Pelodiscus sinensis: one gene and its partner. The protein of the gene in region 2 interacts with the protein of the main gene of each other region in a pairwise test. Links are inferred from orthologs where the notes say so. Each region holds a gene or a part of one and is shown on either strand. Other genes may lie near its edges.

The links.
Region 1: the proteins of TNPO2 (region 2) and CAMK2D interact in binary tests that used the Homo sapiens proteins (3 or more experiments, as listed by UniProt). The two-hybrid records come from large-scale screens. The link is inferred for Pelodiscus sinensis from reciprocal best matches to the Homo sapiens genes TNPO2 and CAMK2D.

The regions. Positions count from the first base shown.
Region 1 is NC_134715.1:32,404,631-32,409,525, forward strand, and holds the start of CAMK2D (calcium/calmodulin-dependent protein kinase type II subunit delta), read right to left. Parts: upstream 3,645-4,895; 5' UTR 2,402-3,644; coding exon 2,334-2,401; intron 1,021-2,333; coding exon 926-1,020; intron 1-925. UniProt on the Homo sapiens protein: Calcium/calmodulin-dependent protein kinase involved in the regulation of Ca(2+) homeostatis and excitation-contraction coupling (ECC) in heart by targeting ion channels, transporters and accessory proteins involved in Ca(2+) influx into the myocyte, Ca(2+) release from the sarcoplasmic reticulum (SR), SR Ca(2+) uptake and Na(+) and K(+) channel transport.
Region 2 is NC_134729.1:13,327,870-13,332,764, reverse strand, and holds the start of TNPO2 (transportin-2), read right to left. Parts: upstream 3,131-4,895; 5' UTR 2,783-3,130; coding exon 2,765-2,782; intron 2,613-2,764; exon of another isoform or gene 2,475-2,612; intron 2,081-2,474; coding exon 1,967-2,080; intron 1,633-1,966; coding exon 1,557-1,632; intron 406-1,556; coding exon 256-405; intron 1-255. UniProt on the Homo sapiens protein: Probably functions in nuclear protein import as nuclear transport receptor. Serves as receptor for nuclear localization signals (NLS) in cargo substrates.

The sequences.
Region 1 (4,895 bases), on a different chromosome or scaffold from region 2:
GCTGACATTGTTTGTTTACTCAATTTACATGCTCATCACAGGGCCAAAAATTCATATGAAAATAAAGATAATGTTATGTTAGCAGAAAATAATCCTTAATCCCTAACATCCTAGTACAAGCAGGTTAGTGTGGATTTGCCAAAGAATAAGTATGAGACCTATTTTCAGCAGTCCTAACACAATACATAGTTTATTTAATGTTGTTTGTTTAATGTTGTGTAAGCACAGCGCCACTGACAGCGTGTATACATGCACACAGCTACACAGTTGTAATATATACCCACATTTACACCACATAAGGAAAATAAAATAAAAGGAGAAAAAAAATGTGTCCATGAGAGAAATAACAGTACAAATGCTTCACTGAAACATCACTACTTGGTACACAAATAGTTACTTCATAAAATGTCTACCCTGTTACACATCATCTTCATTTGAAAAACTGTATGGGCAGCAGATCAGTTTTTTTCCCTAAAGGCGTTCACTGTTAAATATGGCTTGATGAATTATGTTCTTATTTAAATACAATGAAAGAATGAGATTCAATTAAGCTTTGACCTATTTCTTTTAATAAAAGCTACAGGAGTGCGTTCTCAAAAAATACAAGAAAATAACATTCCAAGCTCAAAATCACTCACAAAAAGCTTTTAACAATGCTTTGAAATGTGTATGTCTTTCCTTTTAGCATGGCAGAACAGTAATCTCATATCTAAGCGTTGCCAAACGTTATTCATCAACATGGAATATCTAATCAGTATGTTAGAGAAATGGAAAATATAAGGAGAAAAAATAAAATGTCTCCTGAGTGTGTAAATGCTTAGATATACTACTAAGCCAAAAACAAAAAAAAGGGGGAGGGAGGGGAGACTGGGGATGAAGACAGGGAGACACAGACACAGAAAACATTGGGTTGAAAAATACCCACCTCTAGCAGACAGCTTTTTGGTGTTGATAATTTTGGCAGCATACTCTTGTCCTGCAGGAATTTTCACACATCTTCTTACAACTGAGAATGCCCCCCTGAAAACCAATAACCAGACAAACATCAGCACAGGAGCTATAATATTGATAATGATTCTAATAATGTGAGTGTTTTAACTGATTTGATTGAAATGCATATTGTGGATGTAAGAGACAGGCAAATGAGCACGAAATGGCAATCATTATTCATTTTATAGACTACAACAATTAACTGGATTTAAAATATAAAAGTGACCACAAGTCACGGTAAGCAGTTTTAATATATGTCCAGAAAACTGTAAGTGATGGTATTTACACACCAGAAACTTGCACATTTCACTGTTCCTCGACTCAAAAGCCTCAACTGCTCCCTGACTACATTACAGTAATCAAACCTGTTAAGTGTAAAAAAACAAAACCAAACCTGTGTAAAAATTACACCTCCGGCTTTGTCAATGTGGCTATTATATTTAATTAAATTTAAACAGAGCTCATTCATGTGAGTAAGAAGTGTATCTTAATGAACACAGCGCTACACAGGGACATCCTACTCCTTGCAGAAAAGGAGCATTTGAATTACACTGCTGTTTACAACATTCTCCATGTTTTTGATACCAAATGGTATCCCCACAAGCCTTTTCAAGTCATTTACATAACAAAATGACACACCAATGAATTCTCAATTTAAACAGAAAGCAAAAAAAAAACTGGAGAGTAGAGAATAGTTAATTTCAAGTATGAACAATACACAGCCATCAGCTTGTGTGTGAATAATGTATGAATGTCTGGATATATTTTTGAGTGTCTACATAAACCGGGCAGCTTTTCTGACCATGGGCAGAGCTCTCTCATCTACCTTGGGTTTCTCTTACCCTAGTGAGAATGGTGGCCGTAAATCCTGAAGAGATGATAGATGCAATGTGACATTACCAGCAAGAACAACAATAATTCTTCACAAATAACAAGAGGACGGGAGGGGAGGGTCGCCCTTCCTCCCCATTGGAAGTACTGGATGCAAGAGATACTGTACATCCAGCTGAACTTTCTGCCTCAATAAACGTAGCACCTAATTGTATCAAGTATAAAACAGACAAGCATGCAAAGCAAGCTAGGCAGCTGTGTCTAAAAATTATGCATTTATCCTTTAGATTCGTGCATGGAGCTGAATCCTCCCTCCCCCTAGGACAACTCCAACTGCAGAGCTTAGCAATGCAATGAAGACTCCTTTGCAAAGGATCTGAGGCAGCAGCCACCACCCCCATTCCGAACAAAAGCCACAACTTTGCCCAGCCGCAACCTGTCAAACCACTTCCCTTGCTCCCAACCGAAATCCCCCTCCTCCCCTCGACCCCTTCCCCCACCGCGGCGCTTACTTTCCAAGCTCCTCGAAGAGCTGGTACTCGTCGGTGAACCTGGTGCAGGTAGCGGTTGAAGCCATCATGAGTCCAGGCTGCTCCTGCCGGTGCCTCGGAGGCAGAGAGGGACTGGGAAGAGGGGGGCGGACCGGAGGCGAGACGGGAGAGAAGCCGCGCTTCTTCTCCTCCCGGCGAGTCGGCGTCACCCTTGCTGGCTTCTTTACTTTCTTGTTGGATAGTCGGCTGGGGCTGGGCGGACGGGTGGGGCGCTCCACGCCGCCGGGCGAGCTGTCCTTGCCGCTCGTCCCTCCCCTAGTCCTTCTGCTTCAGTATAAGCCCCTCAAAGGTCGGGCTTGGAGAGGAAACGGCCCGCGAAAGGGAAACCAAAACCAGCCGACAGGCAGCGCGGGAAGGCGAGAGGCAGCCCAGCCAGCAGTGACTAAGAATAAAACAGCTGGGCGGCTGGTGGGAGGAGGAGCGGGGAACTGGAACCCCGCAGCTGCCCCGGTCCACTCCGCCTTTGCTCCGCGCGGGGCTGGGCCCTGACCGCGGCAGCAGCAGCCGCCGGCCTGTGGGGAGCTCTGTGCGGCTCGCCCGGCCGCCGCTACAGCCAGCAGCAGCGCAGCGCTAGGGTGGGGGGAGCAGACCGAGCAGAAGTAGTAGCTGGAGGTAGCGGAGGGGGGGGGGGGGTCTTTCTCCTCCTGCGGCAGCTGCTTCTGCCGTCCTCGTCTCCCTCTCTTTGGGGCACGGCTCCCTCTAGCGGTGCGCAACACGTGGGGGGGCTGCGAGCTCTCGGGGGGCTTTCCCCCGAAGACAGTCTCTGCGGCCACTCCCTCGCCTTCCCAAGGAGCCTGGCCGGTTCTCCCCTAGCAGCGTTCCCAGCGCGGCCGCCGGGCACGAGCAGCGGGAGAGGAGGAGGAGGAGGAGGGTGAATGTCTCACTGAAACACAGCGGCGCTCCGCTCGCCGCGGCGGAGGCTGGGCGTGAGCCTACCCCAGGCAGGAGCGGAGGGGAGAGCTCAGTGGCGGGGCTGCTTTGTGTACCGGGAGCCGGCTGCCAGCTCCCCGCGCGGCGCGGCTCGCTGCAGCAGCTGCACAGCCTCCCCGCTGCCAACGAGGCACGTGGGCTTAGTCCACAGCTGGAGGACGTTCCGCCTGACCTCCGCCCGCGGGCTGCCAGCTGCGCGCGGCCCGCGCAGGACCTCCCCCTAGCCCACCGCACGCGCGCCTGCCTCCGCCCTTCGCCGCGTTCCATTCCGAAGCGTCATAATTGACACGCAGCCCGGGCGCGTTCCAGGCAGCCTCCTCTAGGGCAGCGCGTGTTGCTTCTCGCGAGACTTGGCTCTAGGTTGGGGCGGGGCAGGAGCGAGTGAGCTAGTTAACACCCCCGCCCCCGTCTGGAGACGCTCTCTGCTCTCCAGCGTGCGGTGGGGCGCGGGCTTTAGCGCCGCTGCAAGGGAGGCGGGCTTGGCGTGATGCGTCCGCGTGGGGAGAGGTCTCTGCCTGGGGGCGCCAAGCGTCTTTCCTCCCCCCAAGTCTGCAAAACCGCATGGGCGCTTCTTTGTAGCTTTCCCAGCTTCAGCGACTCACTCCTCACTGGCAATCTGGCTTAGCGCCCGGCGAATTGCAGTAAATCGCTTCTGAATAAATGTGCACAGCATCCTGTTTTCAGCTTCATTTTGCCACCTTGTAATCCGGAGTTGTACATGGTGAAGTGTCTGTACACCTCCGGCTGCAGGCATTTAATGGTGTATTTTATTTCTTCTTGGGGGGGGGGGGGGAATCAGCCAGAACAATTCAACCAATTACTAACCTGGAAGGCTGGGGGAAAAATCCGTTCTTTGCCCATATGGAAACATTCTGCTGACCTTTTCTTCAAACAGCTGTGTGGTTTAAAGTAAAAGGTTCGGAAATGTGGCTAGTCCCAGGAAGGCGCAGAAACAGGCAAACTATTACTAAATATCTTTTAAACTTTTATTAAAGGGCTTTGTATAAAATCATAATTTATCAATTTCTTACATACATAGGCACCAAATAATTATTAGACTGTCCAATAAGCAAAATGCAATACAGAGAAGAAAATTCTTTGAGGTTTCTCTAAATCCCAATAGTTGTTAACAAGGGACTAGGGATTATTAACAGTTACATTTACATCAGTCTTACTTATAAGACTAATCATTTATCTAAAACTTTTAACACTACTACTTAACAATACCTCTAAACAATTTCAGATAACAATACTTACATTTAACAGACACACAAACTACAACAACATATTTGGTATTTGTTATGTTTGGTATACGTTACACTCTACAGGAACTCGTTTGGTTCGGTGAGCGGGAGGTGGCCCTCGGGTGATCAGTCCTCGGACCTGGCTCGTATTCCGCCATCCAATGTTTATTCGGGATTCCTCAATTTGATACAGGAGAGGAAGCTGTTTTATAGAGAAAGCTTTTGTGCGCTTTTTGTGATAGGCTAGCTGTTAAGTGACAGGAGTAAGGGGATGAGATGGTTTCCTGTTTTTCCTTTTCTGCCTTATCGGACATGGCACAACCAGCATGAACTTTACATGAACTTTTTG
Region 2 (4,895 bases):
TCACCGGCAGGAAGAGCCGAGCACCAGCAGTGAGAAAAATCCTCTCCCACGAAAGAGACGACACAAGACGGGCCACTGAAGAATTCCCACATCAGCCAGCACAGCCTCGCTTTAAGGGCATCATTAGAACACATCCCCACCTCCGCTCCACGTGCCGATTTACGCAGGTGGTGTGAGCACAAGCCGGGAAATGCTCCTTCCAAGTGGCCTCCAACTGCCCACAGAGCAACCCTGTCTCTTCCCCGCCGCTCTTACCGATCGTGGCTCTGATAAGTGACGAGCCGTCGCCGATGTTGTTCAGACATTCCTGCTTGATGAACTCCGCCACGGGCTGGGGGAAGCTCTGGTAGTGCGCCTTCACGTTGTTCTTCAGGATCAGCCCGCTGAGCGAGCGCGTCGGTTCATCTGGTGAGAGAAGGTTTGGAAGGGGACAAACAGAATTCTAAAAACTGCTGTCGCTGCTCACCCCAGAGGTGGCTGCTTGTCTGAGAGCAACCGGAGGACAAGAGATTCCGATATGGATCTAGAGCGCTGACGGCCTACGGGCGAAAGGATGTGAAGCATGAGGGGGTCTGCTTCCCAGGCACCCGTGCCTATAATCCCAAAGCACGTGATGGTTCAGGATACAGCCAGCTGCCTTTTGGGATGCTCGCGCTATACCTTCATTTGCAAAGGCCATGGCTTGCCATTCCTCTTCCAAGACAAGCTCCTTTGCAGGGCACTGATAGGCATGGCCCGATCCACGGCAGAGCGAATACCAGCCTCGCTTGGAAGGAGGCCCAAAATGAGCAGGAGGGGAACTGACTCACTGAGATTTCAGAAAGTTTAGCAGGGAACAGATCAGGAGTACCGGCCACCACTAGCCCACAGCTGGGAACGGAACACAGCAGTCCCAGTTTGGAGAGGAAGGCTGGCCCACTGGTTACAGCATTAACCTGGGACACAAGCTTCAATTCTGTTCCACACAAACAACTTTGGTCAAGTCATTTAGCCACATCATGCCTCAGTTCCCCATCTGTACAATGGGCACACAGCACCTCCTTGCCAGATGGAGACATGGGGGTGGGGGCAGCACATAGCTGCTAACAGTTACACACGTCCCATCTCCTGACTCAGTCTCTCTCGCTCTCACAGAAAGGCCAAGAACCTTGGAGTACAAGATTCCCTACTCTAATTCCCGCCACCTCAACAAATTTCTTAAACCACTTGTGATCTAGCCTAATTCTTGCAGCACCACCTCTGGAAAGCATGAACTTCCAGCTAGTCACAAGGAACTAGCAGCAGACATTTCAAGAAGCGTGATGGCCTTACGGGGTCAGGCCTGAATCAGATACAAACTCAGTTAACAAGCAAGACAGCCTAGCACAGATGTCTCAGTGAAGGGCTTCCCTACTCAAGGGAACCAACCTCAAAATACTCCGTTTTCTCTTCTCTTGCTTGCACACATTAGCCCAACAATCCCCAGTTAGGGAATTTTTCATGAGAGAGATACTTAATGGCAAAGGGAGAAGTCCCCGTGTATTTTCCATGCACTTCCATCGAGGCAGATTACGTACCTTCCGATTTCAGCCGTGTCAAGACAAATATCAGGTAGTTATTGAAGTCAGGATATTGGTTCAGTTGCTTCAGTTTCTACAATGCTAGGTGAAGGAAAAAGGCACATGGCACAACACAGGAATTTCAAGGGAAGACAGATGCAAAGATCTGCACGAAACAGATTCTGGGTACCATTAAGGACCAGACAAGCACCCTGCCAAGCTGCATGTCAGCAACAGATTCTTCAATGGGACAAAAAATAAACCCAGACAGGAATACTAAAATCTCCCCCCATGTTAAGGCTCTGCCAGGCACCTTGATGTAAAGGGTTTTAGTTTTCAGCATAATTTACTGAGCTAGTGAAGCAAACACACACAACTTGGCTCTGCAATGGCCTCCTAGCGAACCACCTGGCTTATTCCAAGGATACGTCCTGGACAACACGCTGTGTGGCAGTGTTAGGAGACTGAGAATCTTTGAGTAACTGCAGCACTTGCTGTAGTCCCTGCTCGTCTGGCTGCCAATCCATGGTGCAGAGCGTTAGCTACAGAGGAAGGAAAAGAGGTTAATGATACTCCATTCAGCGCATCGCGCTACAACTGCAATGAAGAACACAAAGCATTGCAGAACTCTGGCTGTCAGCCACAACAAGCCTTCACTAGCAATGACTGGACACAGCTCTGATCCAGGAGCCTTTTCAATATACATGGGTCCTTCCTGCCATCATACAGAGGCAAGAAAAGTTTCTGCTGCCTCGGCAGGAACCAGCCTTGCTGAAAATGTTATTTTCGTTTTAAGGTTGGAATGTGGGCGTAGCGGGGATCATATTAGTGCAACATCTTACAGAGCTAAGAAAGGGCTGGATCGGGCCCTTGGCTGAAAGAGGCATGGTTTGCCCACCCCCGCAGCAGCACATCCATCTCCAGGGATGTACGGACCTAGGAACAACAGCAGGGAAGCCACTGGAGAAAGTTTAGGCGAATGATGTGAAATGTTTCCTTTTGCTAAGGGATCTCCTGCACTGTGCAATCGACCTCCCAAGGGAAACACCAAGAAATGGGATATTCGGAATCGGGCTGGAGAAGAAAAATAAGTAAAGGAAAACCCCTAACTTCTAGGGTTTCCCAAATGCTTATCACCAAGAAACCAAACCACATGGGGAGCTCAGCAGAGGCAGAACGCTCAGGGGATATGAAGAGATTTTTTTTTTGGAGGGGCATTTCCTCACCTTTTCTATTTGGAGCATTGCTGGAACTCCCCTACCAACAGCCACAACCAGGAGAAACACGTGGAGAGAGACTGAGCCTCCACCCCCACCATTTCCTCTCTGCCCCACCCTTTCTAGAGCAGACCCCACTGCCTCCTAGCCCATCCCTGCTTCGGGCAGGCCGTCTTTAAACAGCCCCTCTTCCCACTCCCTGCTGATCCAGCCCCAAATCCCCCTCTCCAAGCTGAGTCAAGATCATGGGGTTCCCTTGCATGGTGCTATCTGGGCCAGAGGGGAAAGAGAGAGGCTCCGTCATCCCCCAGCCCAGAGGAACAGGCCCAAGCTCCATCTTCCTCTGCTCCAAATGCTTCTTTCCTCCCCGGCACCTCACACCCTCCAGTGACTGCCCCCAACTTCTGTCCCACCCTGGAGCCTTCCCAACCATCCCTACCCTCGGCCCCTCCCCCGCCAGCCCTCGAGAGTCCCCCCTCCACCAGGCTCGTCCCACCCCCCTCCCACGCACCGCTGGGCTCCCTCCTATACCCCCCCCCATCTCCCAACCACCCCACTCCCTCTGGGCTCCCCCAGTAGTGCCCCCACCCCCTGACCCACCTCCCTGGCGGCCTCAGTTCCCCATCCCCCCATTGCTCCCCCTCCCCCCTCATCCCCCATTGCTCCCCCTCCCCCCCATCCTCCCCCCTCATCGCTCCCCCCTCCCCCATCCTCCCCCCTCATCGCTCCCCCCTCCCCCATCCTCCCCCCCTCATCCCCCCATTGCTCCCCCTCCCCCCTCATCGCTCCCCCCTCCCCCATCCTCCCCCCTCATCGCTCCCCTCTCCCCCATTGCTCCCCCTCCCCCCCATCCTCCCTTCCCGCCCACGGCCCGGCGGCCACGCTGCCCCCGCCCGCCTCCGGCAGGCCCGGGCGGGCTCGGCGGCCTAGGCGGCCCGGCGCGGCGGTACCTGCCCGGCGGCCCGCGGCGGCCTCTCGCGCTCACGCTCCGGTGGCGGCTCCCGCGGCCCGGCCCGGGAGGGAGGCGGCTGCGGCGGCAAAACGAGCAAACGCGACACGCGGGCGCTGACCCCTGCCGGCCGCCGTCCCCCGCCCTCTGGCAGCCCCCCCACGTGACCCGAGGGAGGGAAAGCGGGGCGTCACGTGGTGGGAAAGACGCGGGTACCGGTCACGTGATAGGAGGAAGAGGCGGGATAGGCCCAAGAGAAGCAGAAGACCCGCCTCCTTCCCCAAGCTGTTGAATCAAACTGAGATTGAGGAGGGAGGCAGGACTTCTGGGTTCTCTCCAGCTCTAGGAGGGGAGTGGGGGCTAGTGGTTAGAGCTGGGAGGCCAGCTCTGGCCAGGGGGTGGGGACTAGAGGTTATTCATATTACAGTAGCATAACCTAACAGCCTGGTCTGCACAGTCTCACTATACAGGTGTCATTTTTAAACAGGTTGGTTAAATCCATACATAAGAACAGCCATTCTGGGTCAGGCCAAAGGTCCATTTAGGCCAGTGTCCTATGTTCCAACAATGACCCATGTCAGGTGCCCCAAAGGGAATGAACAGAACAAGGAATCACCAAGTGATCCATTCTGAGTTTCTGACAACAGAGGCTACGGGGATTGCCCAGTGGGGCTCTGTGTGTGACCCAGGAGACATTTTGTTTAGCATTGCCCGTGTGCAGGGCTACCAGATTCCACTGGTTTCTGTCCATGTGTTTTTTTCCCTATCAATATTATAAAATTGACACACATGTAAAGCAAGAACACATAAAGTGAGGTGCATGGTGAACGTTGTAAAAGCTGTGCGCTCCTTCTGCATCCCGTCAAAGCACTGCTACGGTTCAGTTAGCATGCTGCAAATTCTACATGAGCAACATTTCCTAATCCTGTTAGCAACGTTACCTAATCCAGGGAGACTGTTTGAGTTTCGACAATCTTGCGGCCCAGTGACATGAAGGAGGGCCTCTCATGGGCCCATTCACTAGCCTAATAGCCACTGATAAGACCTATCCTCCATGAATTTGTCTAACTCTTTGTGAGGAAATGTGGTCAAATCAGTTGATTAAATGTGGTCTATATTGGTTGGGCTTGCCCTCATAAACTGCGATCAGTTTTAAATGGGTCCACACGGGTTTGCCCTGGTTTAACTAAT